7 linked regions of the Macaca fascicularis genome follow. The protein of the gene in region 2 interacts with the protein of the main gene of each other region in a pairwise test. Links are inferred from orthologs where the notes say so. Each region holds a gene or a part of one and is shown on either strand. Other genes may lie near its edges. The genes, in order: TRAIP, UBE2K, SIAH1, DTX3, RNF32, TRIM5 and MID1.

Evidence for each region.
Region 1: the proteins of UBE2K (region 2) and TRAIP interact in binary tests that used the Homo sapiens proteins (3 or more experiments, as listed by UniProt). The link is inferred for Macaca fascicularis from reciprocal best matches to the Homo sapiens genes UBE2K and TRAIP.
Region 3: the proteins of UBE2K (region 2) and SIAH1 interact in binary tests that used the Homo sapiens proteins (3 or more experiments, as listed by UniProt). The link is inferred for Macaca fascicularis from reciprocal best matches to the Homo sapiens genes UBE2K and SIAH1.
Region 4: the proteins of UBE2K (region 2) and DTX3 interact in binary tests that used the Homo sapiens proteins (3 or more experiments, as listed by UniProt). The link is inferred for Macaca fascicularis from reciprocal best matches to the Homo sapiens genes UBE2K and DTX3.
Region 5: the proteins of UBE2K (region 2) and RNF32 interact in binary tests that used the Homo sapiens proteins (3 or more experiments, as listed by UniProt). The link is inferred for Macaca fascicularis from reciprocal best matches to the Homo sapiens genes UBE2K and RNF32.
Region 6: the proteins of UBE2K (region 2) and TRIM5 interact in binary tests that used the Homo sapiens proteins (3 or more experiments, as listed by UniProt). The link is inferred for Macaca fascicularis from reciprocal best matches to the Homo sapiens genes UBE2K and TRIM5.
Region 7: the proteins of UBE2K (region 2) and MID1 interact in binary tests that used the Homo sapiens proteins (3 or more experiments, as listed by UniProt). The link is inferred for Macaca fascicularis from reciprocal best matches to the Homo sapiens genes UBE2K and MID1.

The regions. Positions count from the first base shown.
Region 1 is NC_088376.1:112,887,604-112,891,689, forward strand, and holds the start of TRAIP (E3 ubiquitin-protein ligase TRAIP), read right to left. Parts: upstream 2,801-4,086; 5' UTR 2,687-2,800; coding exon 2,589-2,686; exon of another isoform or gene 2,292-2,588; intron 1-2,291. UniProt on the Homo sapiens protein: E3 ubiquitin ligase required to protect genome stability in response to replication stress.
Region 2 is NC_088379.1:38,999,249-39,003,423, forward strand, and holds the start of UBE2K (ubiquitin-conjugating enzyme E2 K), read left to right. Parts: upstream 1-1,375; 5' UTR 1,376-1,390; coding exon 1,391-1,464; intron 1,465-4,175. UniProt on the Homo sapiens protein: Accepts ubiquitin from the E1 complex and catalyzes its covalent attachment to other proteins. In vitro, in the presence or in the absence of BRCA1-BARD1 E3 ubiquitin-protein ligase complex, catalyzes the synthesis of 'Lys-48'-linked polyubiquitin chains.
Region 3 is NC_088394.1:44,266,633-44,269,517, reverse strand, and holds the end of SIAH1 (E3 ubiquitin-protein ligase SIAH1), read left to right. Parts: intron 1-460; coding exon 461-1,311; coding exon of another isoform or gene 1,312-1,414; 3' UTR 1,415-2,385; downstream 2,386-2,885. Other genes in the region: LONP2 (lon protease homolog 2, peroxisomal), read right to left, coding at 1,295-1,414. UniProt on the Homo sapiens protein: E3 ubiquitin-protein ligase that mediates ubiquitination and subsequent proteasomal degradation of target proteins.
Region 4 is NC_088385.1:64,415,542-64,419,548, reverse strand, and holds the start of DTX3 (probable E3 ubiquitin-protein ligase DTX3), read right to left. Parts: upstream 2,801-4,007; 5' UTR 2,766-2,800; exon of another isoform or gene 1,892-2,765; intron 1,635-1,891; 5' UTR 1,594-1,634; intron 1,440-1,593; 5' UTR 1,377-1,439; intron 1,195-1,376; 5' UTR 1,148-1,194; coding exon 1,119-1,147; intron 773-1,118; coding exon of another isoform or gene 754-772; coding exon 24-753; intron 1-23. UniProt on the Homo sapiens protein: Regulator of Notch signaling, a signaling pathway involved in cell-cell communications that regulates a broad spectrum of cell-fate determinations.
Region 5 is NC_088377.1:197,954,086-197,957,585, reverse strand, and holds part of RNF32 (RING finger protein 32), read right to left. Parts: intron 3,309-3,500; coding exon 3,166-3,308; exon of another isoform or gene 3,155-3,165; coding exon of another isoform or gene 3,149-3,154; intron 354-3,148; coding exon 321-353; intron 1-320. UniProt on the Homo sapiens protein: May play a role in sperm formation.
Region 6 is NC_088388.1:68,355,383-68,359,563, reverse strand, and holds the start of TRIM5 (tripartite motif-containing protein 5), read right to left. Parts: upstream 2,801-4,181; 5' UTR 2,753-2,800; exon of another isoform or gene 2,605-2,752; intron 1,558-2,604; exon of another isoform or gene 1,260-1,557; intron 1-1,259.
Region 7 is NC_088395.1:10,265,561-10,269,060, forward strand, and holds part of MID1 (E3 ubiquitin-protein ligase Midline-1), read right to left. Parts: intron 746-3,500; 5' UTR 690-745; coding exon 30-689; intron 1-29. UniProt on the Homo sapiens protein: Has E3 ubiquitin ligase activity towards IGBP1, promoting its monoubiquitination, which results in deprotection of the catalytic subunit of protein phosphatase PP2A, and its subsequent degradation by polyubiquitination.

The sequences.
Region 1 (4,086 bases), on a different chromosome or scaffold from region 2:
TCGTGTTGGCTCATGCCTGTAAACCCAAGCACTTTGGCAGGCCAAGGAGGGTGGATCGCTTGAGTACAGGAGTTTCAAACCAGCCTGGGCAGCATGGCAAAATCCTGTCTCTAAAAAACAAAATTAGCTGGGCATGGTGACATGCACCTGTAATCCCAGCTATTTGTGAGGCTGAGGCAGGAGGATCGCTTGAGTCCAGGAGGCTGAGCAGAGATTGCACCACTGCAGACCAGCTTGGGCAAGACAGAAGGACTCTGTCTCAAAAATAACACCAACAAAAAAAATACCACAAATACACCAATTAAAACATTCAACAATAATGTAGAAGTGGGAAGAGAGTGTTACTATTCTAAGCTCTTTGAGTTGCCTGGGAAAATGAGAAAGGTGTTGATTAACCTTGAAATTGGTAAGTTAAGGATACATACCTTAATTTCTAGGATAACCACTTATAAATGGAAATGGGGTACATAACGTCCAAACTAACTGAGGGAAAATGGAGAAATACAGAATATTTAACCAATTCCCACCAAGGCAAGAAAGGAGAGAATAAGATATAATAGGCAAGACAAAACAGAATCGACTAAAGACAATAGATTTACTCTTCATTTAATCAGTAATTGCAACAATTTTAAGTAGACTAAATGGTTCAGTTAAATACAAAGATTATCAGACTGGACTTTTAAAAGTCCAACTAGGCCGGGCGCGGTGGCTCACGCCTGTAACCCCAGCACTTTGGGAGGCCGAGATGGGCGGATCACGAGGTCAGGAGATCGAGACCATCCTGACTAACACGGTGAAACCCCGTCTCTATTAAAAATACAAAAATTAGCCGGGCGCGGTGGCGGGCGCCTGTAGTCCCAGCCACACAGGAGGCTGAGGCAGGAGAATGGCGTGAACCCAGGAGGCGAAGCTTGCAGTGAGTGGAGATTGCGCCACTGCACTCCAGCCTGGGAGACAGAGCGAGACTCCCTCTCAAAAAAAAAAAAAAAAAAAAAAAAAAAGTCCAACTAAATGCTGTTTTCCCAGGCTGGGCGCAGTGGCTCACGCCTGTAATCCTAGCACTTTGGGAGGCCAAGGTGGGTGGATTGCTTGAGTCCAGGGGTTCGGGACCAGCCTGGGCAACATAGCAAGACCCCATCTCTACTAAAAATACAAAAAAAAAAAAATTAGTCGAGCATGCTGGCAGGCACCTGTAGTCCCAGCTACTTGGGAGGCTAAGGTGGGAGAATCACCTTAGCCCAGGAGGTCAAGGCTGCAGTGAGCTAAGATGGCACCATTGCACTGCAGCCTGGGTAACGGAGTGAGACCCTGTCTCAAAATAAAATAAAATAAAGATCTTTGGGGTAAGCTAAAGTAATTTTTAATATATAAAAAAAGAAATAAATGCTGTTTTCAAGGGATACATGTAAAACACAAGTACACAGAAAAGTTTAAAATAAAAGGACAGGCCCTAGCACTTTGGGAGGCCAAGGCGAGTGGATCACCTGAGGTCAGGAGTTTGAGACCAGCCTGGCCAACATGGAGAAACCCCCGTCTCTACTAAAAATACAAAAATTAGTTGGGCGTGGTGGCGCACGCCTGTAATGTCAGCTACTCGGGAGGCTAAGGAAGGAGAATCACTTGAACCCAGGAGGTGGCGGTTGCAGTGAGCCAAGATCGCACCACTGCACTCCAGCCTGCGTGACAGGAGCGAGACTCCATCTCAAAAATAAATAAATAAATAAAAATAAACAAATAAAGTAAAAGGATAGAAGAAAATAGAGTAGGCAAATAGAAAATAAAGTACAGTACTCTTAGATGCGAGCTTAATTTCTAGTCTAACCAAACAGCAGTGGCTCCCTCAGCATGGGGCTCAGGCTGTCAGCAACACAGGTCTAAACAAAGCTTTGCCAGTAAGCCAGCAGCCATCAGGGTCATGCCTGCCTCTCTGCTTCCTAGGGCCTTTAGCCCTACAAGCCCCCTGTGATTATTATCACCCACCATTCCCAGGGGTAACTCTGCCTTATCTCTTTTGCTAGGAGGTCCAAACCAGCCTGTCCACATCTGCTAGGGGAATCTTTCCCCACTAGCTGTACACTCAACAGAATGGCCCTACACGGTCAGCAGGACCCCTGGATAGGGGGAGCATCTCCTTGCCTTCCCCATGTTAAACGGGTTTGCTGACATGGCGAATACACTGGGGTGTCCTAATTCCAAACCATCAAGTAACCCTACCCTCTTGGGTTGCCAGAAACCTACCAGGTTTCTATCTGGAAGAAATAAAAGGATTTGTTGATGTAGTGAAAGCTCACCCTTGCCCAGGCTAACGGTTGTGAAATCACATCTGTTTGTATAGGTGATCAAGGAAGCATCTGTCTTCACTGAGCCATCTCAGTCCCCCTCAGGCTTAGCTCAGCTATCACCTCTGCCAGAAAGCCTGTCCTGACCCACTTCTGTCCAAGTTGGGAAGCTCCCGTGGGGCCTCGTTTAGGAGGAAGGTTCTCATCACTTGTCTGGATTCCGGGGAAGGACTGCCTGGAGGCCCGACACCTCGCGGCCCTGAAGCGGTACCCGGGCAAACATCGGGCCCCAACACTGCAGTCACTCACCACTGCAAGTGGAAGGTGTGGCCGCAGTGGATGGCGGCCACGTCGCGGGAGTGATCGAAGAAGTCGGAGCAGATAGTGCACAGAGCACGGATAGGCATGATGGCTGGACTCAAGGGGCCCAGGCAGCCAAAGAAACTGCTACAGGTCCGGCTTCGCAGACGCTCCCCCGCGCCTCCACTGCCTTCAAATTTGGCTCCGCAGCACGACTTCCTGGAGCAGGCCGGAAGTGACAACACAAAACTTTGGGCGGAGCGTAAATATTTCGTCTGGATTGGACAAATCCTCGGGTGGGCGGAACTAGGGGCGGGGCTTAGTGGCCCCGAGGCCGTAGAGAATCCTGGGCGGAACGCGGTCGCTCTCTGGCGTCTTCTGGGAGGACTCGACCTGCCACTTGAGAGCGCAGCGTTATATCAAGGCGGGGAGCAGCGAGGCTGCCAGCTGGACCCTTCTCCAGGGCAAGGCAGCGCATTGTAGTCCCACGCCAGAGCTGGCGCGAGGCAGGCTGGGCCAAGGCAGAGAAAACTGCAGCCGCAAGGGAATAGAACAATGGTCCAGATGGGTCCCTTGGGCTCTGGACAGTGCTGGACCATGCGCTGTGGTCTATATTTCCCATAGACCAAAATACTCTACCCTCTCAGTCATCAGTTCCGGGCGATTCTGGAAAGATTGACACATAGGCCCCAGTCCCTCAGGTCACCCCAGGCCAACCTTGGCTTCATCCAAGTAAGACATGACTATCCTTGAGTTTGGAGACACTAGGGCCAGTACCCTGACTTTAGCTCTTAACTCTCAGGAGGATCGGTTATGCTTGGGACTGTAGTAGGGTTGGAATTTTGGAGGCCCAGATGCTTCAAAGACTAGAGACTAACAAATTCTTTTTATTATTCCCACATCAGAGAAGTTATCTTTGAGGAGGTTATCTTTGAGGTCCTCCCAGAGAGCAGCATCCCTGGTAAGTTCACCCAGGCCCACGTGGGGTGTAGTAAGTAAACTTTTGGGTTTTTAGGTTTAGTATCTGTAGCAATGTTACTCCCTCTACCCAGAAGAAACCTTATGCATAGCCCCATAATATAAAGCTGATCTGCTCCAGCTGAAATAGACCCAGAGTGAGATTTCATTTGGGGCATATGTGGAAAGCACAGGTGTTCACAGGAAGAACGCAGAGCATTATAGAATCTTTGTGCACTGCTCACCCTACACCCTCTCCCCAGCTCAGGGAAGCTATCTTTGGCTAATAGCAGGGTCTGTCCTTGTGGTGGCTGGCCCAGGTAGATTCCAGCTCTATGCCTAAATCAAGAGTGAGGCTCCTCGGTCAACAGGAGTCAAAAACAGCAGCCCTTACTTGAGCTCTCAGCCCAGGGAGTATTCCTCGGTCCAAATGCAGCCCAAGACCCACTACTCACATGGATTTCTAGAGTCCAGAGGACCCCCACCACCACCACCATTGAGGAATACACTGTGGTGAGGATGATCTTCACTCTCAGCCCAAGAAATCCAC
Region 2 (4,175 bases):
CAAGCAGTTCTCCTGTCTCAGCCTCCTGAGTAGCTGGGATTACAGGCATGTGCCACCATGCCTGAGGGTTTTTTGTTTTTTTTTTTTGGTATTTTTTGTATTTTTAGTAGAGACGGGTTTCACTATATTAGCCAGGCTGGTCTCGAACTCCTGACCTTGTGATTTTGCCGCCTTGGCCTCCCAAAGTGTTGGGATTACAGGCGTGAGCCACTGCACCTGGGCTTTTTTTTTTTTTTTTTTTTTTTTTTTTTTTTGAGACAGAGTCTCGCTCTGTCGTCCAGGCTGGAGTATGGTGGCACAATCTCAGCTCACCATGGTCTCTGCCTCCCGGGTTCAAGTGACCCTCGTGCCTCAGCCTCCTGAGTAGCTGGTATTACAGGTGCACCCTACCACGCCCAGTTAATGTTTTGTATTGTTAGTAGAGACAGGGTTTTACCATGTTGGCCAGGCTGGTCTTGAACCCCTGACCTCAAGTGATCCAACTGCCTCGGCCTCCCAAAGTGCTGGGATTACAGGCATGAGCCACCACTGCCCAGCCAAGACTATATACTCTTATTTCCCAGTGAATACATTATTGACAGTTTTTGAAAATACTGACTGTAGCCCCAAAAAGCTTAACTGGTTGGAGATACAGGGCAGACAAAGGATAGATAAAAATGGTAGGGGCAAAGAGTAAATGCTATGGGATTCTAAGGGTATCTGTATGAGTGAGATTCCTTTTTGTTGTTGTTTTGTTTTTGAGAAGGAGTCTCGGCTCTGTCACCCAGCCTGGAGTGCAGTGGCTTGATCTTGCTCACTGCAACCTTCGCCTCCCAGGTTCAACCAATGCCTCAGCCTCCGGAATGGCTGGAATCCCGGGATTACAGGCATGCGCCACCCTGCCCAGCTAATTTTTTTTTTTTTTTTTTTTTTTTTTTTGAGACAGAGTCTCGCTCTGTTGCTCAGGCTGGAGTGCAGTGGTGCGCAATCTCAGCTCACTGCAGGCTCCGCCTTCCGGGTTCACGCCATTCTCCTGCCTCAGCCTCCCGAGTAGCTGGGACTACAGGCACCCGCCACCAGGCCCGGCTAATTTGTTGTATTTTTTTAGTAGAGATGGGGTTTCACCATGTTGGCCAGGATGGTCTCGGTCTCCTGACCTCGTGATCAGCCTGCTTTGGCCTCCCAAAGTGCTGAGATTACAGGTGTGAGCCACCGCGCCCGGGCACTACACCCTGCTAATTTTTGTAGTTTTAATAGAGGCAGGGTTTCACTATATTGGCCAGGCTGGTCTCAAACTCCTGACCTCAGATGATCTGCCTGCCTCGGCCTCCCAAAGTGCTGGGCTTACATGGTGAGCCACCATGCCTGGCATGCCTGGACTTTTTTTTTTTTTTTTTTTTTTTTTTTTCAGATGGAATCTCGCTCTGTCACCCTGGCTGGAGTCCAGTTGCATGATCCAAGCTCTCTGCAGCCTCCGCCTCCCAGGTTAAGTGGTTCTCCTGCCTCAGCCTCCCAAGTAGCTGGGACTACAGGCGCACCCCACCATGCCCAACTAATTTTTTATATTGTTAGTAGAGACAGGGTTTTATGATGTCGGCCAGGCTGGTCTCAAACTCCTGACCTCAAGTGATCCACCTGCCTCGCTCTTCCAAAGTGATGAGATTACAAGTGTGAGCCACCATGCCCAGCCAAGACTATGTACTCTTATTTCCCAGTGAATACATTATTGATAGTTACTGAACATGTTGACCACAGCCCCAAAAGGCTTACTGGTTGGAGATACAGGACAGACAAAGGATAGATAAAAATGGGAGGGGCAAAGAGTAAATGCTATGGGATTCTGAGGGTATTTGAATGAGGGAGGTTCTTTTTTGTTTTTGTTTTGTTTTGAGTCAGAGTCTCTGTCGCCCAGCCTGGAGTACAGTGGCTTGATCTTGGCTCACTGCAACCTCCACCTCCTGGCTTCAAGTGATTCTCAGGCCTCAGCCTCCGGAATGGCTGGAATCACAGGCATGCGCCACCACACCTGGCTAATTTTTTGTATTTTTAGTAGAGACTGGATTTCACCATGTGGCCAGGCTGGTCTCACACTCCTGACCTCAAGTGATCTGGCTGTCTTGGCCTCCCAAAGTGCTGGGCTTACACGCATGAGCCACCCGACCTGGAGTTTTTTTGTTTTGTTTTGTTTGAGATGGAAACTCACTCTCACCCAGGCTGGAGTGCGGTGGCGTGATTTTGGCTCACTGCAGCTTCTGCTTCCCAGGTCAGGTAGTTCTACTGCTTGACCCAGTAGCTGGGATTATAGGCACGTGCCACCACACCCAGCTAATTTTCCTATTTTTAGTAGAGATGGGGTTTCTAGCCAGGCTGGTCTCGAACTCCTGACCTCAGGTGATCCGCCTGCCTTGGCTTCTGAAAGTGCTGGGATTACAGGCGTGAGCCATCGTGCCCGGGCTGTATGACTGTATGAGGGGGGTTCTTGAGCTAGGTGCTTTTTGTTGTTGTTGTTGTTGTTGAGACGGGGTCTCCCTCATTCGCCCAGGAGCACAGTCATAGCTCACTGCAGCCTTGACCTCCTGGGTTCTAGCAAGCCTTCCACCTCAGCCTCCCAAGTAGCTGGGTCTACAGGTACGTGCTGCCACACCCAGCTAGTTTTTACTTTTTGTAGAGATGGGGTCTCACTATGTTGCCCAGGCTGGTCTTGAACTCCTGGCTTCACACAGTCCTTCTGCCTCAGCTTCCCAACGTTCTGGGATTATAGGCATGAGCCACCTCACCCAGCCTTCTTGAGCTGAGGAAAGTTAAGACTGACCTCAAATTTCAGGAGACAGTCCCAAAGGAATTGTGGTAATATTGCGATTCTTTTTTTTTTCCCCCCCGAGACAGAGTTTTGCTCTTGTTGCCCAGGCTGGAGTGCAATGGCGCAATCTCGGCTCATTGCAACCTCTGTCTCCTGGGTTCAAGCGATTCTCCTGCCTCAGCCTCCTGAGTAGCTGGGATTACAGGCATGCACCACCAAGCTCAGCTAATTTTGTATTTTTAGTAGAGACCGAGTTTCTCCATGGTGGTCGATCAGGCTGTTCTTGAACTCCCGAACTCAGATGATCTGCCAGCGTTGGCCTCCCAAAGTGTTGGGATTGCAGGTGTGAGCCACCACGCCTGGCTGAAATTCTTAAGTAAATAAACTTTTCTCTAGGCACATGAATTGGAACTATGGAACAAAGAGATTATTGATGCACTTATTCAAGAAACACATTTACATATGTAGAACAGAAAGGTTGCACAGCTCTTATATACTCAAACATAGTTGTAGAGTTAGATCATGTTCTTAACTTTCTTCATAGTTACCTTTTGGGGAGGAAAACCACCCTTTTTCATATTAAAGTAAAACGTGTACATAATAAAGTGTGACTGGCATCCAAATCAAGAAACAGACCCTTCCCAGTACCATAGGAATCCTCCTTCCTTTCTAGTTACTTTCCTGACTTCTAATAACAGATTAGTTTTGAGTATGTTTGAGTAAAAGAACAGATGTGAGTATATGTTACGTATTTTAAGTTGGAAAGTTTTCAAAAGATGCTGTTCAAAATCTGTTAAGAAAAATATAGTGTCTTAGAAAATGTACTAAAATGTATTGAATTTCAGTGCTGAAATAGATCTAGGCCAAACTCCTCATCTATAAAATCAGGAAACTGAGGCCCAAGGAGGTTGATTGTTCCTCAGAGAAACAGCTGGTTAATGGTTGAACCCAGGCTTTTTGCATACCAGTTTAGTCATAATAAGTAGTTGGTTTGTGGGAATATCCTTTTCATAAACGATAGTGTAAAAGCTGACTGCTAATACAACTTTACAGAAGGAGATAACAATGCAGTATTATTTAAATGTGTCTTTTCTTTTCCCCCTCTTAGTATGAGAACTTAAACTTGCCAAGGAGGTAGAGATTTTTAACTCCTGAAGCATAATTTAGTGAAGTTAGCTTAGTAATTAAGAGCATGGGCTTTATAATTAGATTTGCTTTGAGTCCTGGCTTTTCTTCTTAAAACCTGAAGTACTGGCTCTGTATCTCGATTATCTTTATCTGTAAAAACTGTGGGAAGATTAAGAGTGTCTTTACAGTGCTTAGAATAACCTTGGGACATAATTAAACAGATAGCTGTTAGATGTCAGAAGTAGCTATGTTTTCATATTCTGTTGTG
Region 3 (2,885 bases), on a different chromosome or scaffold from region 2:
TTTATCCAGGACTTCACCTGTAACTCCCTATACCTATCAATAGCTGACTCCAAATTAGAAAGAAATAAGAGTAAGGGAGTCTCAGGGAGAGAGTCCTAGCAAAACGGATTCGATTAAACTTCAGTTCCTTGTATAGTTTCTCTAGTTGTTTATGGTCCATCTTCTATTTTAGCATTTATTATTCCATGTAGTCTATCCAAAGACGATTAAGGGAGTTCCAAATGTTTTCCGGAATATTTTGAAAAGAGAGCTTATCCAGTGTACAGATCCTAATAAAGTGCACATTCAGTGTAATTTTATTTTTTAGTATGTTACTTTTTAAATTCTATTTATTTTTCTTTCTCTTTTGCTCAGTAAATTTTGCATGAAACTTTAAGTACTTCTGGCATGTAAACATTATTTGTAAAATAAGTCATGGTTATAATTATTTTTCTCCTGCCTCCTTATGTATTTATTTCAGAAATGAGCCGTCAGACTGCTACAGCATTACCTACCGGTACCTCGAAGTGTCCACCATCCCAGAGGGTACCTGCCCTGACTGGCACAACTGCATCCAACAATGACTTGGCGAGTCTTTTTGAGTGTCCAGTCTGCTTTGACTATGTGTTACCACCCATTCTTCAATGTCAGAGTGGCCATCTTGTTTGTAGCAACTGTCGCCCAAAGCTCACATGTTGTCCAACTTGCCGGGGCCCTTTGGGATCCATTCGCAACTTGGCTATGGAGAAAGTGGCTAATTCAGTACTTTTCCCCTGTAAATATGCCTCTTCTGGATGTGAAATAACTCTGCCACACACAGAAAAAGCAGACCACGAAGAGCTCTGTGAGTTTAGGCCTTATTCCTGTCCGTGCCCTGGTGCTTCCTGTAAATGGCAAGGCTCTTTGGATGCTGTAATGCCCCATCTGATGCATCAGCATAAGTCCATTACAACCCTACAGGGAGAGGATATAGTTTTCCTTGCTACAGACATTAATCTTCCTGGTGCTGTTGACTGGGTGATGATGCAGTCCTGTTTTGGCTTTCACTTCATGTTAGTCTTGGAGAAACAGGAAAAATACGATGGTCACCAGCAGTTCTTTGCAATTGTACAGCTGATAGGAACACGCAAGCAAGCTGAAAATTTTGCTTACCGACTTGAGCTAAATGGTCACAGGCGACGATTGACTTGGGAAGCGACTCCTCGATCTATTCATGAAGGAATTGCAACAGCCATTATGAATAGCGACTGCCTAGTCTTTGACACCAGCATTGCACAGCTTTTTGCAGAAAATGGCAATTTAGGCATCAATGTAACTATTTCCATGTGTTGAAATGGCAATCAAACATTTTCTGGCCAGTGTTTAAAACTTCAGTTTCACAGAAAATAAGGCACCCATCTGCCTGCCAACCTAAAATTCTTTTGGTAGGTGGAAGCTAGACACATGAAGGTAAATGAAAGGAAAGGCTGTTAAATACAGGAAACAGTTGCATGTAGTAACACTAATATATTTAAAAATAAGTCAACAGTAAACCACTGAAAAAATATATGTATATACACCCAAGATGGGCATCTTTTGTATTAAGAAAGGAAGCATTGTAAAATAATTCTGAGTTTTGTGTTTGTTGTAGATTGATTGTATTGTTGAAAAATAGTTATTTTGTTTTGTTTTTGCGTGGGAGTGTGTGCGTGCGTGGGTGTGTGCGTGTTTGGGTTTTTCTCCTTTAACTGACAAGCCATCTTGAGTGGTCATGGGCCACTGCTTTTCCCCTTTGTGAGTCAATACATAGTGCTGCTGTGTGCTTTTTTGTGTGTGTATTTGCTAATTTTTATTAATTTTAGTTTTTCATTAAATAAATTTGACTTTCCTTTCTGTAATTCAGGTTTTTCTTCACTTTTTTTGTACCATTTTAAAGTTAGTGTCTTTTGATATGCATACTTGTTATGGTAAAAGTTTGTAACATGTGTTCAATATTTTCTTTTCCCCCATTAATCAGTTCATTAGAAATATTTTAAAATCAGCTACTTTGTGAAGCTATGAGTTCCAGAAAGTAAAGGTGACATCGGAAAAATGATCAAAAGCTATTTAAAGCATCTGTAAGATGGTCTCTCTCTTTCTCTCTTCTACGGATGAGTCACACCTTTGAGCTTAATCTTTGAAAGGTTAGAGAATAAATTGATTTTTATAAGTACTGCAAATCAGGCTTTTGTTTCCTTTTTCAAATATCTTGGATAAATCACATGTTTAAAATTTGTTCTTGTATTTATTGGTTTTGCAAAAGAAGGCATCGTCATGCACAGTATTTGTAATTAAAAGCAAATCATTTGTTTAAAAAGGCAGTTTGCAAAAAAATGTTTTTGGTCTTTTATAATTCTCATTAAAAGAATTTCTGGCAAATTAAAAAAATCTTACTGTGTCTGCTTTAGCTCTAAGTTTGATAAAATCCAAAGTTATTTTCCTGTTTCATTCCGTACTTTAATTATATAGCAGAAAGCTGTGTGTTGTCATTTTTAAGTGTGGTAGAGTTATACTCTAAATCACAGCAAATAACTGGGTATATGGCTTCTGGATTACAGTCTTTCCCATGCTCTGCCCCTCTTGCCCACATTTTGATTCTTACAACTGTCAGGAGAATGACTAAAATGCTGACCACTTTTCACCTCTTTAAAAAAGCACAATGAAATAATAAATTTACTATTTCATAGCCTAGTGGTTAAGAGCCTTGGTTCTGCAGCCAGACTTCAGGCACCTAAGTGCCAGTCTCGGCTCTACCCCACTAACCAGCTGTGTGACCTTGGGCCCCAGTTTCCTAATGTGTAAAGTGGGGTTAAATTATGGTAGCTACTTAAAAAGTTTTAATGGGGTACAGGTATGTTACCTCAAACAGTGCTTTGTTCATATCAGCA
Region 4 (4,007 bases), on a different chromosome or scaffold from region 2:
AGGGCGGGCCATGGTCTTCTTACCCCCTGGACACCGGGCGGGAAGACGTACTGGATGACAATGGTGCCATACTTCTCATAGCTGGGTAGTAGGAGGGTGGCGTCCTTAGAGACCAGCATCCGCCCATTCTGGGGCTGGTTGCCCACCAGCTGCCCATAGAAGCGGCCGCACATGGGGCAGGCCTTTTTCACCTGCAGAGCCCGGGTGATGCAGCCCTCGCAGAATGAATGCCGGCACTTCTCCAATGTCTTGGCATTCTGGATCTCCCCCAGACAGATGGGGCAGGTGCTCTCCTGCTCTTCTGCCTCCTCCCGAAGGCGAGGAGGAAGAGGTGGGGGCAGGGGGGGAGGAGGAGGGGGGAGCCCCCGAGCCCCTGGGGGCAGAAGTGGGGCTGCTCGGAGAGGGGGTGGGCCTGCGCGGTGCATCTCAGGGTGCTCCCCTCCACCCCCCAGAGCCAGGCAGCCCATCAGCTCCCCCTGCCTCTGAGCTTTCTTCAGCTCTTTCTCTGCCTCTTTTAGCAGCCCCTTAAGAGCCTTCCGGGCTAGGTAGAGCCCATTGGGAGGGGCCGGGGGAGGGCCCTGTGGGGAAAGCTGGAGAACATAGATGTCAGAAGTCTCGCCATCTATTAGGATGGACACACGATGCTCCTCCCGAAGCCGGGCCAGCCGGGCTGGGGTCTCTTTGCTCAGGAAGTCCCACACAGGCTTGGAGACAGTCACTTTGTTCTTGCAGGTGCCTCCACAGGCTGCCATTCTGGACAGGACGAACGACACTGCCCCCAGGGTGAAAGGGACTCAGGGTGGGGGGTCCCCATTTGACAAGTATCAGTGCCTCCTACTTCAGGTTCCTTCCAAACCCTCTATTACCTCTGTTTTCTCAAAGCCTAATCCCCAACCCTTCCCCCAAATTCATATTCTCTCTCCCCTTATCTTCCAAACCCAGTGCCCACTGAAGAGCAAAAAAGTTTCCAGAGCTGTATTATCATCTAAGCCAAGTATCAGTCTTGTTTCTCCTGTCATTTCTCCCAGATCATAGAAACAATTTGCCCCTCCCACTTCTGGGGGGAAAATGGGCTCTTTAAAGGGGAGGGAGACTTTTTGCCCCTCCTTTTTGCTTACTTTGATCCTGAAGAGCTTAGAATTGGCATGCAGGCTCACTCTTTTTTCCCTGCTCCCTACTTGTAGGTCATGTGAGCTGGTAGGGCGGAAAAAAAGGAAGGAAAGTGAGAAACCCCTTCTCCCAATTCCCATGGCCCCCAACCCAGCAGCCCATGGAACAGAGACAGAAACCTGGGTATAGGTTACTGAGAATGGTAACATGGAATGAAGGAAACCAGCTTAAGGGTGAAAATTGAGGATCCCTTGTGGGAGAGATACCTGGGAAGCCCATGGAAGATGATGGCAGCAGAAATCCTTCTATTTCCACTCAGCTGACCAGGACTGGGAATAGGGGAAGGGTAAAAAGTTATGATGGCAAATGTTACCATTTCCCTCAGCCAACCCAGAAATAAAAACTCCACTTCCATCTCCTCTCTCCTCTGCAGAATTCCATCATCAGCTTCTCCCCAAGTTGCTCAAGAAGGAACATGCTAACCTTCCTCCTTTCTTCCCCAGCTCTGAGGCCCCCAAGAAAGCCTAGGGCACACATAAAAGATGTCAGGAAAGAAAACGCCCACACAGGTGGAGGTCTTCTTGCCACCTCCCTCAGATCACATGGACCGGAATATTTCCTATGCTCTCCAACTCCTCCCCTGCTCCACGTTCCCAAATAATTCAGCCCCTATTGCCAGGGAGCCTTCCTTGAGAGCTAACTCAGTCCCTTCTGCTGAAGTCTGTTAAGGATGTGAACAAAGTGGCAGCAGCCCCTGCAATAACAAAGTTCTCATTGTCACCTTTTAAACCCAGCACAGGCAGGGCTGTCTGTCAGCTCCCAAGTCTGGCATTTAGGGAGGGGCGGGGCTCACACAAGGGCTCAGCTGGAGGGGCCTGATGTTTCCCCTGAGCCTGGTCGCATTGGGCTACCAGGCTGTACCCACAACACTTCCAAATGCAGCTCAAACAGAAAGAAGGGCCATTAGTGTGACCTCCATTCAATGACTGATCCAAAAAGGTGCAGCTGTCCCTTCATGCCTCCATCATCGTCCCCCAAGGCCAGATGCACCTCGAGATTCATAAAGTGAAAATGGAACCCTAGAGTCTCAGCCCATACAGTGTATCTGCGCTGCAACACCCCCCTCCCCATCACAGGGGACCCAGGACCTAGGTGTCCTAGCTCCAAGTCCTGCTGGCACAGAAAAGGGAGGCGGGGCCACAGTTTAGGGTGGGTCTGTGATTCCTCTGTGGGAACCCAGGCCGGACAAGGGACAGTCTCTCCCTCTAGATAGAGGCCAGAGGGAGGGACAGCCCGGAAGGGCAAGGGTCCCTGGGGGCATCCACTGAGGCAGCTCCCGCCCTACCCCCACGGCCTCCTCCAAGACCCGACCCGGAACCAACTCCCCACATCCCTCACTCGCCAAAGCCCCCGGATCCCCATTGCCGGGCGGGGATGCATGTCGGCCCCGATCGCAGCCCTCAGAACCCCCGAATGGAGGCCAAGGCTGGAGGGTGCTAGAAAGATGATCGGCCGGGCACGGAGCGGGGAACCCGGAGCCGCGCGCGGGGAGGGGAGGTGGAGGAGGGGGCGCCGGGGGAGCGAGGGGCGTGTGAGGGGTGCGAGCGGGGCCTGGGGGGCGCGCGGTGGGTGTGGGGGGCGCCGGGCTCACCTACCTCTCGTCAGCGCCGCCATTGCCGGTCACATGACTGAGGCTGTTGCTGGGATGACGGTCCGGGCCTTAGCAACAAGGGGGGGGGGAGACCCCGAAAGGTTGGGGGTTGCAGGGGGTGCAGGCTGAGGGAAAGGGAAGGAGGGAGGACAGCACCCTCTTTCCCCTCACAGGTGATAATCACCGTTCCTTTGACCCCCTTCTATCCGCAAGCCCCTGCCCTTCCTCCCCAAAACAAAAATGGAGGCGCTGTTCCAGTCTTTGGAGGGAGGGGGTGGCGTCATGGAACTGAGGGTAGGAGGTTAAATCCCTGGAGACGCCACCCTTCTCGCTCCCCGCTCCCGGCGGAGCACTCTCCCTTTTCTTTCCCAGCCAGCTGCGTAGCAGCTCCGGGGAGCTGGTGGTGGATGGGTGGGTGAAGTGTTGGTGGGTATATGGGGATTCGGGGGGGAGGGCGGCAATTTTTTGAATCCTTATGGTAGAAGGGCCTTTGAGGAACAATGTGGGATGGGAAGAGTCATAGTAAAAAAAAAAGCATTGGTTTTAAAAAATAAACAAATCCGGGTACTAAACTATTTCAATCCCCTCCCTCATCTGCCTGTTTCTAGATTGTTACCTCCTGTGACCCCCACAACCTGCTCTCAGTTGGTCATTGGTAAGTGCCTCTGATTTTTCTCTTTCCACAAACAGCGATATGGAGGCTGGTGCAGAATGGGAAACGAATACATTTTTTAAAAAATGGCTTGAGGTGGTGGTAGTGTCAAGTGTGTATGGTTCAAATAGAGTTAAAAACTCTCAGGAAAAAAAAAAAAAAAGCTCTGCTCTGCTTCCCACATCAAGCAGTCTCTGCCCAATTCAACTCACTTCCCTAGGGCCACATCAAGCCAGGTTTTTCCACCAGCCAAAAGACTTCCTCAGCCAAGACAGGAATCTCCCAAACTGGCAACAACCTCTATTCATCCACCCCTTTTTCACTCCCCCTCTAGACTGGAGAGCTGGTCACTTTCTTCACTTTCCCAGGACTCTGCTGTACTCTTCCTTCCCTCCAGGAAGAAGACAGCTTTCCCAGGAAGCCTGGGGGAATACTGGATTCCGTTTCTTTTAGCTGGTGGGCTGAGAGGCCTACTCACCTTTACAAAGATGGAGTGTTAGCAAGCCCAGAACTCAGGGAAGAGGAAGGGTCCCATCACCCTACCCTTCCCTGGCCCTCACTACCTCTGACCTCCCACGAAGTTGAAGACTTAAG
Region 5 (3,500 bases), on a different chromosome or scaffold from region 2:
TGAAATCCACTAGCACAAAGGCGAGTCATGCGTGTCTATGGGACCACATGCAGATCGATCATGTGAATTTAGCTGTCACTGACACGCATTACTGACAACAATCTGTTACATAAACATTTGTGGTTCTTTTGTCACAAAACTCATGATTTTCAAAATAGGATGAATTGTACTGTAGCCTACAGTCATGTTTCTTTAACTATAGATGGTGGTGATGAATAAAATAAATGGCTCTTCTCAGGAGCCTTGAAAATGACTATAGTTTCTCTGCACTGTAAGAGCGATGTGTGGGGCACCTGAACAGGCGTGAGGGGCGGACTTACTCTGTGGAACACATGGGAGCATGAAAGCAGCACCTGTTCATGAGGAAACAGAACGACATTGAAGTTTACAAAAGAGAAGCAGCATGAATGCAACAGTTAAATTCCTGAATGCTTAGAAGGTAAGCTGTATTATTTCTTTAAAAATTAAAAAGGCAAATTTATAGCTTTGATGTTTATACTATTTATTGTTTGTTTAGCACAGCACAAGTATATACTCTAAACAAGAAAAATTAATGATCTGAAATATCAAATAAACACATGAAGTTTGATATGTAATTATCAAAATGAGTGTATACTTAAGAGCGAAACAATGACAAAATGAGTGTTTCCCTTAGATGCAGGCAAAGACTGCAAACTGGAGGGGTGAGGAGGGGGGCCCGTCCAGTGGGGCCAGGGAAACGCTAAGTAAATACCATTTAGGTCTTTGTACAGCTCAGTTATGCCCCCCAGTTTTTGTGAAATCATAGCCCTACTGAGATATAATTCTGACAGTCTTAAATTTAAATAGCAACACATCATGGAGACATAGGAGTCATTTTTTTTTTTTTTTTTTAATGCAGGGAGTGTGCTCACAAGAAAACTTCACCTTTCTGTGACCCAAATTCCCCACTAAACAGTGATATTCTGGGCTGTGACAAAAGACTGAAGCTTAGACCAAATGAAGAAGGCAGTGGGTACTCAGTAGAAGGGACAGAGCCACCAGCCCACCAGCGCCAGGCCCTGCGGGCTGCCACACGAAGGCCAGGCTTCCCTTGGGGCGGGGCTGCTTCCAGCAATGGGGAGGAAAGTGGGGGAACTTGTGAGACGGAGCAAAGCAGTGGGGGCAGGCGGAGGGGTTTCCCTTTCTGTCAAGAGTCTGACTCGGGTGACTGCAGTCTGGGCCCCTCCCGGGTGAGGTTTCAGTCTCAGGCGGCCCAGGATGCCTGCTGTGGGGAAAACTTAACAGTTTTTAAAGTGAATCCCACCTGCCTTCACTCAATGTGTGCTTTTCTTCTTAAATGGAAGAAATACAGAAATAAGTAGAACTCAGAAAGTTGTAAAACCTTTTCTTGAAACTTATTGCCAAGAGTAAGTCTGAATTGAATAAACTCAGTAATATGGGTCCTTTTTTATTACTACCGTTGAATAGCAATCTTTTCTATACTTCATTCATCCTTTATAGAATACTTTTCAGTGTTTCCTTAACATACATTCTATCTATATTGAGCAACATAAGACTCCAGTATATTAAAGTGTTATCTTTTTAAATGTCCACAAATATTTCTTATTGGCAAACATTCTCTGATGTAACAAAAATCAAGGAGTAAGTGGTGGAAAACATACTAAAAATGGCCTAGAAGGTAGGACTGGATTCCAGCAGGACTCCATACTTTCTAAGCTGGCCTACTATGAACCATTTGAATTATTTTTTATTTCCTCATCTGCTAAATGGGCAGAATGCCTACTATATGAAATTAATTGAAGGCCCTCTGAAATCATTAAATGTTGTAAAAATGCCAACTATTGTTTATAACTAAGGAAAAATCTGAACACGGAAATGATCATTAGAAGTGCCAAATATACAGGATAGGTTCTATATCAAAACCAAATAAAAATAATAGAATTTAGGGAGAAATTTATAAAAAACAGAAAGAAATGTTGGGCAGGGTACACCCTGATGCCCATAAGATACTAACTTTCACTTTTCATTCTTCATACAGACACTCCAGGCTCGATATTTTAGTATAAGAAAGAGGTTGCTTAGCCAGAAAGACACCCTCTGATTTTATTCACAGTTTTGCTACCTAAAGTACTAAATTATTCTAGACAATTTGTGGTTTTAGGGCTAAAATCTGTCCAAAATACCCAACTTTCACATACGTAAGATTAGGTCCTGATAGAGAAATGGAATAAGTATGTCTAAGTAACTTATGAATTCAGATTAGTGAAGAGAAGTGTAACTGTTGTGAGCTTTCTGCAGATGAAACTTACTCAAATTCAGCGAAGACTCAGAGTTCATTTGCCCAGACTGTAATAAGCCTGGGTTCCCAGGCTACGAACTCCAAGGCTGATTTTAATTGTATTTGCTGTATTTTCTCAGCAAATCTCTGAGGGCCTGCTATGCAGGAAGCGTCATGCCACACTCCGTGGGAAATCATTACAGGGCAATCGTGCACACGCGCGCGCGCGCGCACACACACACACACACTTCTGATAAATCTAAGTGTCCCCAACTTCAAGAGACTGTTTTTTTAGTTAGGCAGACAAAATATGTATAGAAAAAAACCCTACATGCATTCTCTCTCTCTCTCTCTCTCTGTGTGTGTGTGTGTGTGTGTGTGTGTGTATGTGTATTATCTGTTAACCCAGAGTAGTATCATCAATCTTACTATGGTAAAGTTTCATGAAGAGAAATCATTAAAAGATTTTACTTTTCTTAAAGATTTTCTCATAAATTCTTTGGAGACATTCAAGCACAGTTTTTTTTTTTCTTTTCTTTTCTGACTCAAATCACAAAACAACGTAAGAGTTCCTCTGCTTTCATCCTTCCCGCACTGGGACACAGCTGCTCCTGGGAAGCCCCCAGTTGTCTGCACAGCCACATGGGGCCTGTTGAACAGAAACATTCCTTTTGTACAAACGTTAGTACTTGAGAATACCAGTCAGTAAACAAACAAAACTATTTAATGAGGGTGTTTAGCTCTTCACACACTTTAATTAATGGAAAAGAAAATGGAAGTGTGTGAGGCTCACACAAGAGGATGAAACTGGGAAAAGGAAGCCTGGAATCTTAGGCTCCAGCTCTGGGCCTCATCCCTAGGAAACAGCCCAGGATTTCTCTAGCTCACCCTCATACGCTAAACACCTGAGGTCGAAGCTCGAATTCTTCTTTACAGATGGGGCATGGCTGCACCGAGTCCCCTTGCAGGAGGGAGCGCTGTTTCACCTTCTCCCATTCATCAGATGACAGCTGAGGTGGTGGAGGCCCAATGAGGCCCAACTTCTGTGCTAAAGGAAGACAGCAGACAGCACAGACAGCAGTTAGAATGTCTTTTAGCATATGGCACCCACCTATAATTTTAATGACACCATTTGCAAACAATTATTAAAGAACTACATATAGATCACATACTTTATTTCATAATAGAAGCTGTCCCTTGGTATCCACAAGGAAAGTGTTCCAGGACGTCTCAAGGATGC
Region 6 (4,181 bases), on a different chromosome or scaffold from region 2:
CCATAGCTGCAAAGCCACATACCTCCCAGGTGGCTTCCCTCACAATTTGCTCACAAGGAAATTTCTTGTGGGCCCCAAGGTCTTTACTCTGAAACGGAGATCTGTTGAATTTCACCCTGACAATGTCAATTAGCAAGCTTATCTTCACTAGTATGGGACAAAGACAGAGGATAAATCATCCCTCAGCTCACCTGAGACAAATGCATGTTTGACTGTTTCTGCTACTCCCTGTTTATCTTTTGTAAAAATGCAGATTCACTGAGTGGGAGACAGTGCATAATTGATTACTCCTCCAAGCCCTCCTTTAACATGTAAATTATGGCTTCAGCTAACGCTAGCTAAAGCCTCAAAAGAATGTAACCTTTTGCTTCTTTTATCGACTCTCCTCCATTTTTTTCTTTTCTCTTTCCCCTTTAAATACTGAAGTCCTCAAACCCCCTTTGGAAAAAGCATGAATTACAGATGTTCCTGTGATTTTATGCTCCTTTTTCCTAGGCATGTCCTCAACCCTGGCAAAATAAACATCCAAATTGAGTGAGGCCCCCTTCCATTAGTTTCTTTGGTTTACAATGCCACCAGAAAGGTATTCTGTATGAGTTCAGAAGATGGGTGCCAAACACTGATTTATCACCAGAAGCAGGGACAAGAAACATGAAGCAGAGGTGAGCTCTCCAAAATCAACCTTAAGGCAGTAAGATTTGGTCAGATGAAGGGAAGTTGGGATGAGGAAACAGTTTTGCCTGGAGTCTTCCATATAAGCTTGAATTAGCTTAAGTGCAGCTATATCTTTCATGGGAAGGACATTTGGAGTTGAATACAGAGGGTCCCCATGAGAGAGACTCCCTCTCTCATGTGTCTCAGGATCCTGTTATCACACCACTTCTGACATCTGATATCATTAACATCAACCAAGTGTCGATGAAAAGGGTCAAACTCTGTAAAATATTTTGAAGAGATTTATTCTGTGCCAAATATGAGTGGCGATGCCCCATGACACAGCCCTCAGGAGATCCTAAGAACATGTGTCCAAGCTGGTTGGGGTGTAGCTTGGTTTCATATATTTTAAGGAGACAAGATACTTCAATCAAATACATTTAAGAAAGACTCTGGTTGACAACTGTCTTTATCTAAAGACCTGGGATCAATAGAAAGGAAATGTCTGAGTTCAGATAAGCAACTGTGGAGACCAAAGTTCTTACTGTGCAGATGCAGCCTTAGGGTATCAGGCTTCAGAGAGAATAGACTGAAATGTTTCTTACCAGACTTAGGGTCTATGTTGAAGTTCATGCTGGAGAGGAATAATGAGTCAGGTCCCACTTCCGTTTCCTGTCATGGCCTGAATCAGTCTTTCAGGTTACATTTTAAGAGCAGCCTGGCTGAGAAAGTCCATTCAGGTGGCTAGGGGCCACAGAATTTTATTTTTGGTTTACACAAGTACTCATTTTGTTTATTAAAAGTTAGAAACGGTGCCATCTCTGGGTATTCCTTCACATGCTTCTGCTGCTCTTTGTATCTCACCTAAGCTCTGCTTTTGCAGGGCACATTCGGCCCAAGGAGAGGGAGGAGCAAGGTTAATGATTTTTAAGGAAATCCAGTTGTTCCCTGAGTCTGGACTTGGTGCCTAGTAAGGGTAAACAGATGCTGTCACCACGAAGCCCTGATGAAATAACTGGGAAAGTTATTTTTCTTAATGGTTTTCTTTATTCCTTTTATTTATAGACAAAGCTGCTTAAAGAAGCCAGACTGCCCAGCATGGTCCATATCTTCACCCCGACCAGATCCAAGGGGGAAATTAGACCCCCAAACCTGCGTAAACTGGAACAGACAATCCCTCATTGCCTTTGGATCATTAACATATCACTAGAGTGTTATCCCACCCCGACAGCAAACAAGAAAATCTCCACCACTTTGTGGCATGTGTTGTATGAAGACATGTGTTTATAAACAGAGGTGGCACAACTGGAGCTTCACCCTGCAGGCTAACACTCCTTTCTCTTCCCATGCAGAGTTCTTTTAAAGCCCATGCTTCCCACTGTTTCGGGGGAGGGGGCTTTAGAGAAGGAGTTCTCTTATTCTCCACTCCCAGCAAGAAATAAAACCTGCTTGCCTTTTTTTGCCATTATCTTTGTAACCAATATGAACTAGGGAAATAACTCCGTTTACCAGTGACAATGACAGGGCTACAGAGCTGGACAGCTGTCACACCACCAAGGTGATGCCACAGAGACAGGCCCAGGTGATGAGAGCTGACCTGTAGAGTTATGCAGAAACACTACATTAGCACACTGATAGGCATTAAATCATTAGGGTTCCAAGGCCCCTGTCTTTGCCCTTGTTGGGAGAAGGCACTGAAAGAGAATTCTGGCTCTCTACAGCAAAGTTCAATAAAAAATTATAGAATAGAGAGGGGATGGCGAGAGAGTCAGCGTGGAAAAATAACCAGCCTTCCAGGAAACAAAGCGCTTCATTTTAAAGCTCTCCCTTCTTTCAAATCTGCCTGCCCACGAGGCAGCTCTATTCCCCTCAGTCAGCTCTGGCAGCAGGACGTCTGTGAACGGTGTCTTTTCCCCATCCCGAACAGCTTTTCAGATAAGTTAAACTCACCAAGGTAAATTCAGTTTTGTCCCAAAGACTTCCTACTTCTGCCCTCCACAAAGTCACTCAATACACCTTCAGACACCAGTGCAGAAGTAGTGAGTCTGGGGAGAAGAGTGAAGGCAGGCCAGGAAAGACACGGTTAGGATTCAGTCACCAATCCAGGGGCCTGATCTGCGCAAAGGAATTTTCCTAGAGGAAGTGCAGGAAATTCTTGCTCACATCGGGGCAGGAAAGTGAAAGATAAACTACAGGCCAATGGCGTTTCTCCACGTAGGGCCTGGTTGAGTCCCGCCCTCTGAATGAGTCAGCCTGCTGTGTAGCTGTGCTGTTCACAGGAGGAGCCTGTGAAGGGAAATAGAGGCATCCCCACTCTATTTCCCTTTTCTCTTGAGTCTCAGGATCTTGTTATCATGCCACTTCTGACATAGTTTCAGATTAACCCAACCAAGCATTAAAAATTAGAAAAGGTGCCCTTTATCGAAATTCTTCCAAAGTGCTCCTCTTGCTCCTGATCTCGCAGCTGAGTTCTGCTTCTGGGTGACAGATATGGCCCAAAGAGAAGGAAGAATAAAGTTAATGATTTTTAGAGAATCGCAGTAGATTTCTGGTCTGGACTTAAAAATCTTACAGGACCTATGAACAGAAAAGGAGCTACAGATAGAAGAGATGTCATATTATTAAGACTCCCAGACCCAGAGAGGACAGGATGCTAGAAATGTATCTGGAGAGGGCCGGGCGCGGTGGCTCACGCGCACTTTAGGAGGCCGAGGTGGGCGGATCACGACATCAGGAGATCGAGACCATCCTGGCTAACACGGTGAAAACCCGTCTCTACTTATAAAACACACACACACACACACACAAATTAGCCGGGCGTGGTGGCGGGCACCTGTGGTCCCAGCTACTCGGAAGGCTGAGGCAGGAGAATGGCATGAACCCGGGAGGCAGAGCTTGCAGTGACTGGAGATCACGCTCCTGCACCTACAGCCTGGGTGACAGAGCGAGACTCCGTCTAAAGAAAAAAAAAAAGAAAGAAAAGAAATTTATCTGGAGAGCCATGAAGAAACACCACATTATTACACTGACAGCAGTTCAACTATTAACTTTCAAAGAACTCTCCAACTTCCCCTTGTTGTCTTTTTCAAAGTATCTATTCCATCCCAGAGCAGGGCCAGGCCTTCCTCTCTTCTCTTCTGGTTACTATGTAAAACTTGTCCAAAAGGCTGAACTGTGGTCCATGTACCATAGCCTCCCTTCTAAGCCTTCCTTTACTGGAACATCTCAGGAAGTCCACACTGGAACTAGGATCACTGGTAGAGAGGAGTATTTAGTATGAAAATGAAAATGCCCCGGTGTGTGATGTTCCCCTTCCCGAGTCCAGGTGATCTCATTGTTCAGTTCCCACCTATGAGTGAGAACATGCGGTGTATCATGGGGAGGGGGAGGAGGGAGGGACTGCATTGAGAGTTATACCTGATGTAAATGAGGTATAACTAGTAGTTGATGGGTGCTGACGAGTTGATGGGTGCAGCACAGCAACATGGCACAAGTATACATATGTAATAAACCTGCACGTTACGCAC
Region 7 (3,500 bases), on a different chromosome or scaffold from region 2:
GGGGTTGGCTTAAGGCGGATCGGACTAACCTTCAATTTGTCATAGCGCTCACTCAAAGCTGCCACCTGATGATCGCGGTGCCGCCCAACCAGTTTACACAAGGCACAGATTAACTGGTCATCGGTCACGCAGTACATATTCACCTTCTCATCCTCATGCTCCAAGCACATCAGCCCCCGGATGTGTGAGTCCGGAATTGGCTCAATCAGACGATGGCCTGTAAAGGGCTTCTTATTCGGGTGAGTGGCTTTCAGGCACTCATCACAGTAGGATACTTCGCAAGTGACACAGGTCTTCACAGCGTCCTGGGCAGGATCCTGGTCACAAAACTGGCAGAGGACCTTCTCGGCGGAGGTCATGGTGTTGGCGTCAAAGGCCCGCTCCCGACGGGTCTCACTGGGAGAGTTGGGCCCGCTCACTGATGCTTTCTGGAACCTGTCGATGATGTTCTGTAGGGTGACGTTGCGCTTGAGCCCGTCTAGACCTCGCTGGCTGAGGGTGATGACATGCCGGCAGGTGGGGCACTGGAAGGCGGTGATGGACTCCACGGACTCGTTGGTGGCACAGTGTGATACTAGGATGCGGTGGGCACAGTTGAAGCAGAGGCTGTGTGCGCAGGGCAGTAGAAGAGGGTCCTCAAAGAGCTCCAGACAAATAGGGCAGGTCAGTTCTGACTCCAGTGTTTCCATCTTCAGGCAAAGCTCTCTTGTGTCATCAGCAAAACCCAAGGAAGCTGATCAGCTATCTGGAAACAAGAATGTAAGATCTGATTAGGCACAGGGAGGTCAACCATGGGGGGGTGTCAGCTTTGAATGCATCTCAGAATAATTCCAAACACAGGTCATGAAAGGGTAAGTGTGTGTACATTCCAAATAATTCTCTTTCTATTCACTGGGAGCCATCCTGAGCCATCATATACCAGTTAATATTTTCTCGAAGTTCAGTAACTGAAAGTTTACAATTTTGTTTTTGCAATTTTGTTTTTTAAAAGGCCTTATTCAAAACTGGAAAGTAATTGAAACTGTAATTTCCATAATTTGTATTTAATCAGAATAATCTTATTGTGTCAGAGTCAGGTTTAACCTTGCACAGAAAATTAAAATGTAGAAATATTCATCAATAGAGTCTTTTATAAATTTGAATTTATAAACTTACATATTAATGTATATGAGATTTAAGGACTTTTACTTTTATTTTGGCAATACCAAACCAGGTTTCAGAACGGTGGGAAGGCAGTAACTATAGAAATGGACATGAAATGTATATGAAATCAAATGCAGGGATTTCAGCAGAGATGATCGTGTTTAAGTATGGGATGTCATTTTCCAAAATATATTCCCGAGAAAAAACATTGACTTTCACAAAGATGATTGTGATACAGGCAATATTTCTGGCATGTGTTCATTATGCTTCTGAATAATTCTATTGTATAATCCGGCAGTGGGACGTGGGTAGGCAGAACGAAGCGGAGAAAAATATCTGGGGGCTTTTTTGGTGGCTGCAGTAAGTTTGAGTACCAATGACTAATATTTAGAGCAACAATTTAGTTAATTAGAATAAGGATTTCAGTGGTTATCATATTCATTTGATAAGTTATGTTATGACAATGATAACAATTACAGTATGACAATGATAACGATTACAATTTAAGGAGGCTTACAAACCTGCTGAGGGACCCTTTTGGCCAAAAAACTCCCATCACGGGTTTGTCACTGTTGCCAGCAAAAGGTCAGGCTGGCGGGAGGTCTAGCCTCACACTTAGAGCTGTGTTGGCCTGGGTACGACCTCTGCCAGCTTTGTTGCTCCCCTCCAGGCCACCCGAGGGTGGCCCAGCTGCCTGCTCCCCTCGCCATAAAGACCTGAGTGCTTTTGTGAACTCTCATCTGCCTTCCCATCAAAAAGGGTAGTGGAAGGAATTCCACACAAACCCCAGTTCATTAAGGGTGAAGAGGCCTCATGCTCATTAGCAGGCCTGGGAACCAAGCCGCTTTGAACCTTCTCCCTTTCAAGACCATTAGCAGAGGTCTGCAGACCAGTGATGGGAATATTAGATGCAGCCCACTGCAGGCTGTGGGAGAACAGTGCAGTTCACCCAGTGGTTGGGAGGTTCAAATCACCCACAGGGGTGGTGGGGAGAGCATTCTCAGCCGGATTTATGGGAAGGCTTCACATCCAAAGCTATGTTTAGTGATTCTGACAATCAATCGTTTGTATTCATACCTCTGCTTATTTACAAAATTTACGGTTTCTAGAATACCCTGACCCCTTCTGAAATAGCATCCCTCAGAAATACCATATGGTGCTTTGGTGAAATTAATGCTCATCTTGCTACCAACTGAATGGTAACTGATCATTAAAAGTATAAAGTATGTCCTGAGCCTGTTAAAAATTAAATAGCTACTGGCTTCATAAAAGTCTGGTATCTTAAAAAATCTTCAGCCATTCACTAGTATTTACTACATAGGAAAGAATAAAAGAGCAACTGTGACTTGAAATATTAAAGCTTGTACATCTTTCTATAACCTGCAATGGAAACCCTAGGGTTGCTGTTGTAAGAAACATATCATCCCCACTTGGTCTCAGTTACCTGTTCCTATAGATGGCTCAGAAGAAATGGAAAGTTTTTTACCTATTAATAATTATTTTGGTTAATCATAGAAAAAAATGTAGAATTATCTTTAAATCAAAGTTCTTCCACCTTCTCATCAAAAGCATATAAATTAAAGGAAAAATATTGCCCTTTTGGTCTGCTTTGTTCTTGGATAAAACAAGAATGCCTACCAATGAATCTCAATAGAAGGATGAGCATCAAATTATGTCTGGAGAGCTATGATGACTGTATTTTTAATGCAGGTGCCAGGATTCCATCCCAAAGAGGTGTGATGAGAATTTCTAGAAAGGATTCCGCTGGAGAGACCTCAGTGGAAATACTGACATTTTATTCATTCCTTCAACAGATGTTTACTGTGTGCCAGGCACTAAGTTAGCTGAAGAAGCCAGAATCTGGGGTTCACATCACCTCATCTCTATTATCACGGGCCAAGCCAGCATCATCTCTTATGTAGACTATCATAAGACCTTTCTAAACGATCTCTTGGCTTCTGTTCACTCCTGCCCTTCCCCCTATAGTCTATCCTCCACTCAGAAGCCAGACAGCCTGTTGTTAAAACATGACAGAACATGCCTCTCCTCTTGCTCTGCCCTGTAAGGGCTTCCCATTTCACCCAGAGAGAAATTCACCAGAATAAACTAGACCCAGAAAACAAAGACTCAGACAGTGAGCTCACTTCCTCCCATGCTACCCACTCCTCTCTCTGCTCTGGGCACATGGCCTCGTTCTGACTCCTCAAACATGCCAAGCACATCAATCCCCTGCTCGCCCCTGCAAGGTCTTCAGAATCCACATGACTCTCTGCTCCAGTGTCACTTTCTCTCTGAACCCATATAAAACCAATTCCCCTTCTACCACTATGCCACCTACCCATCGTGGCAATTCTTCC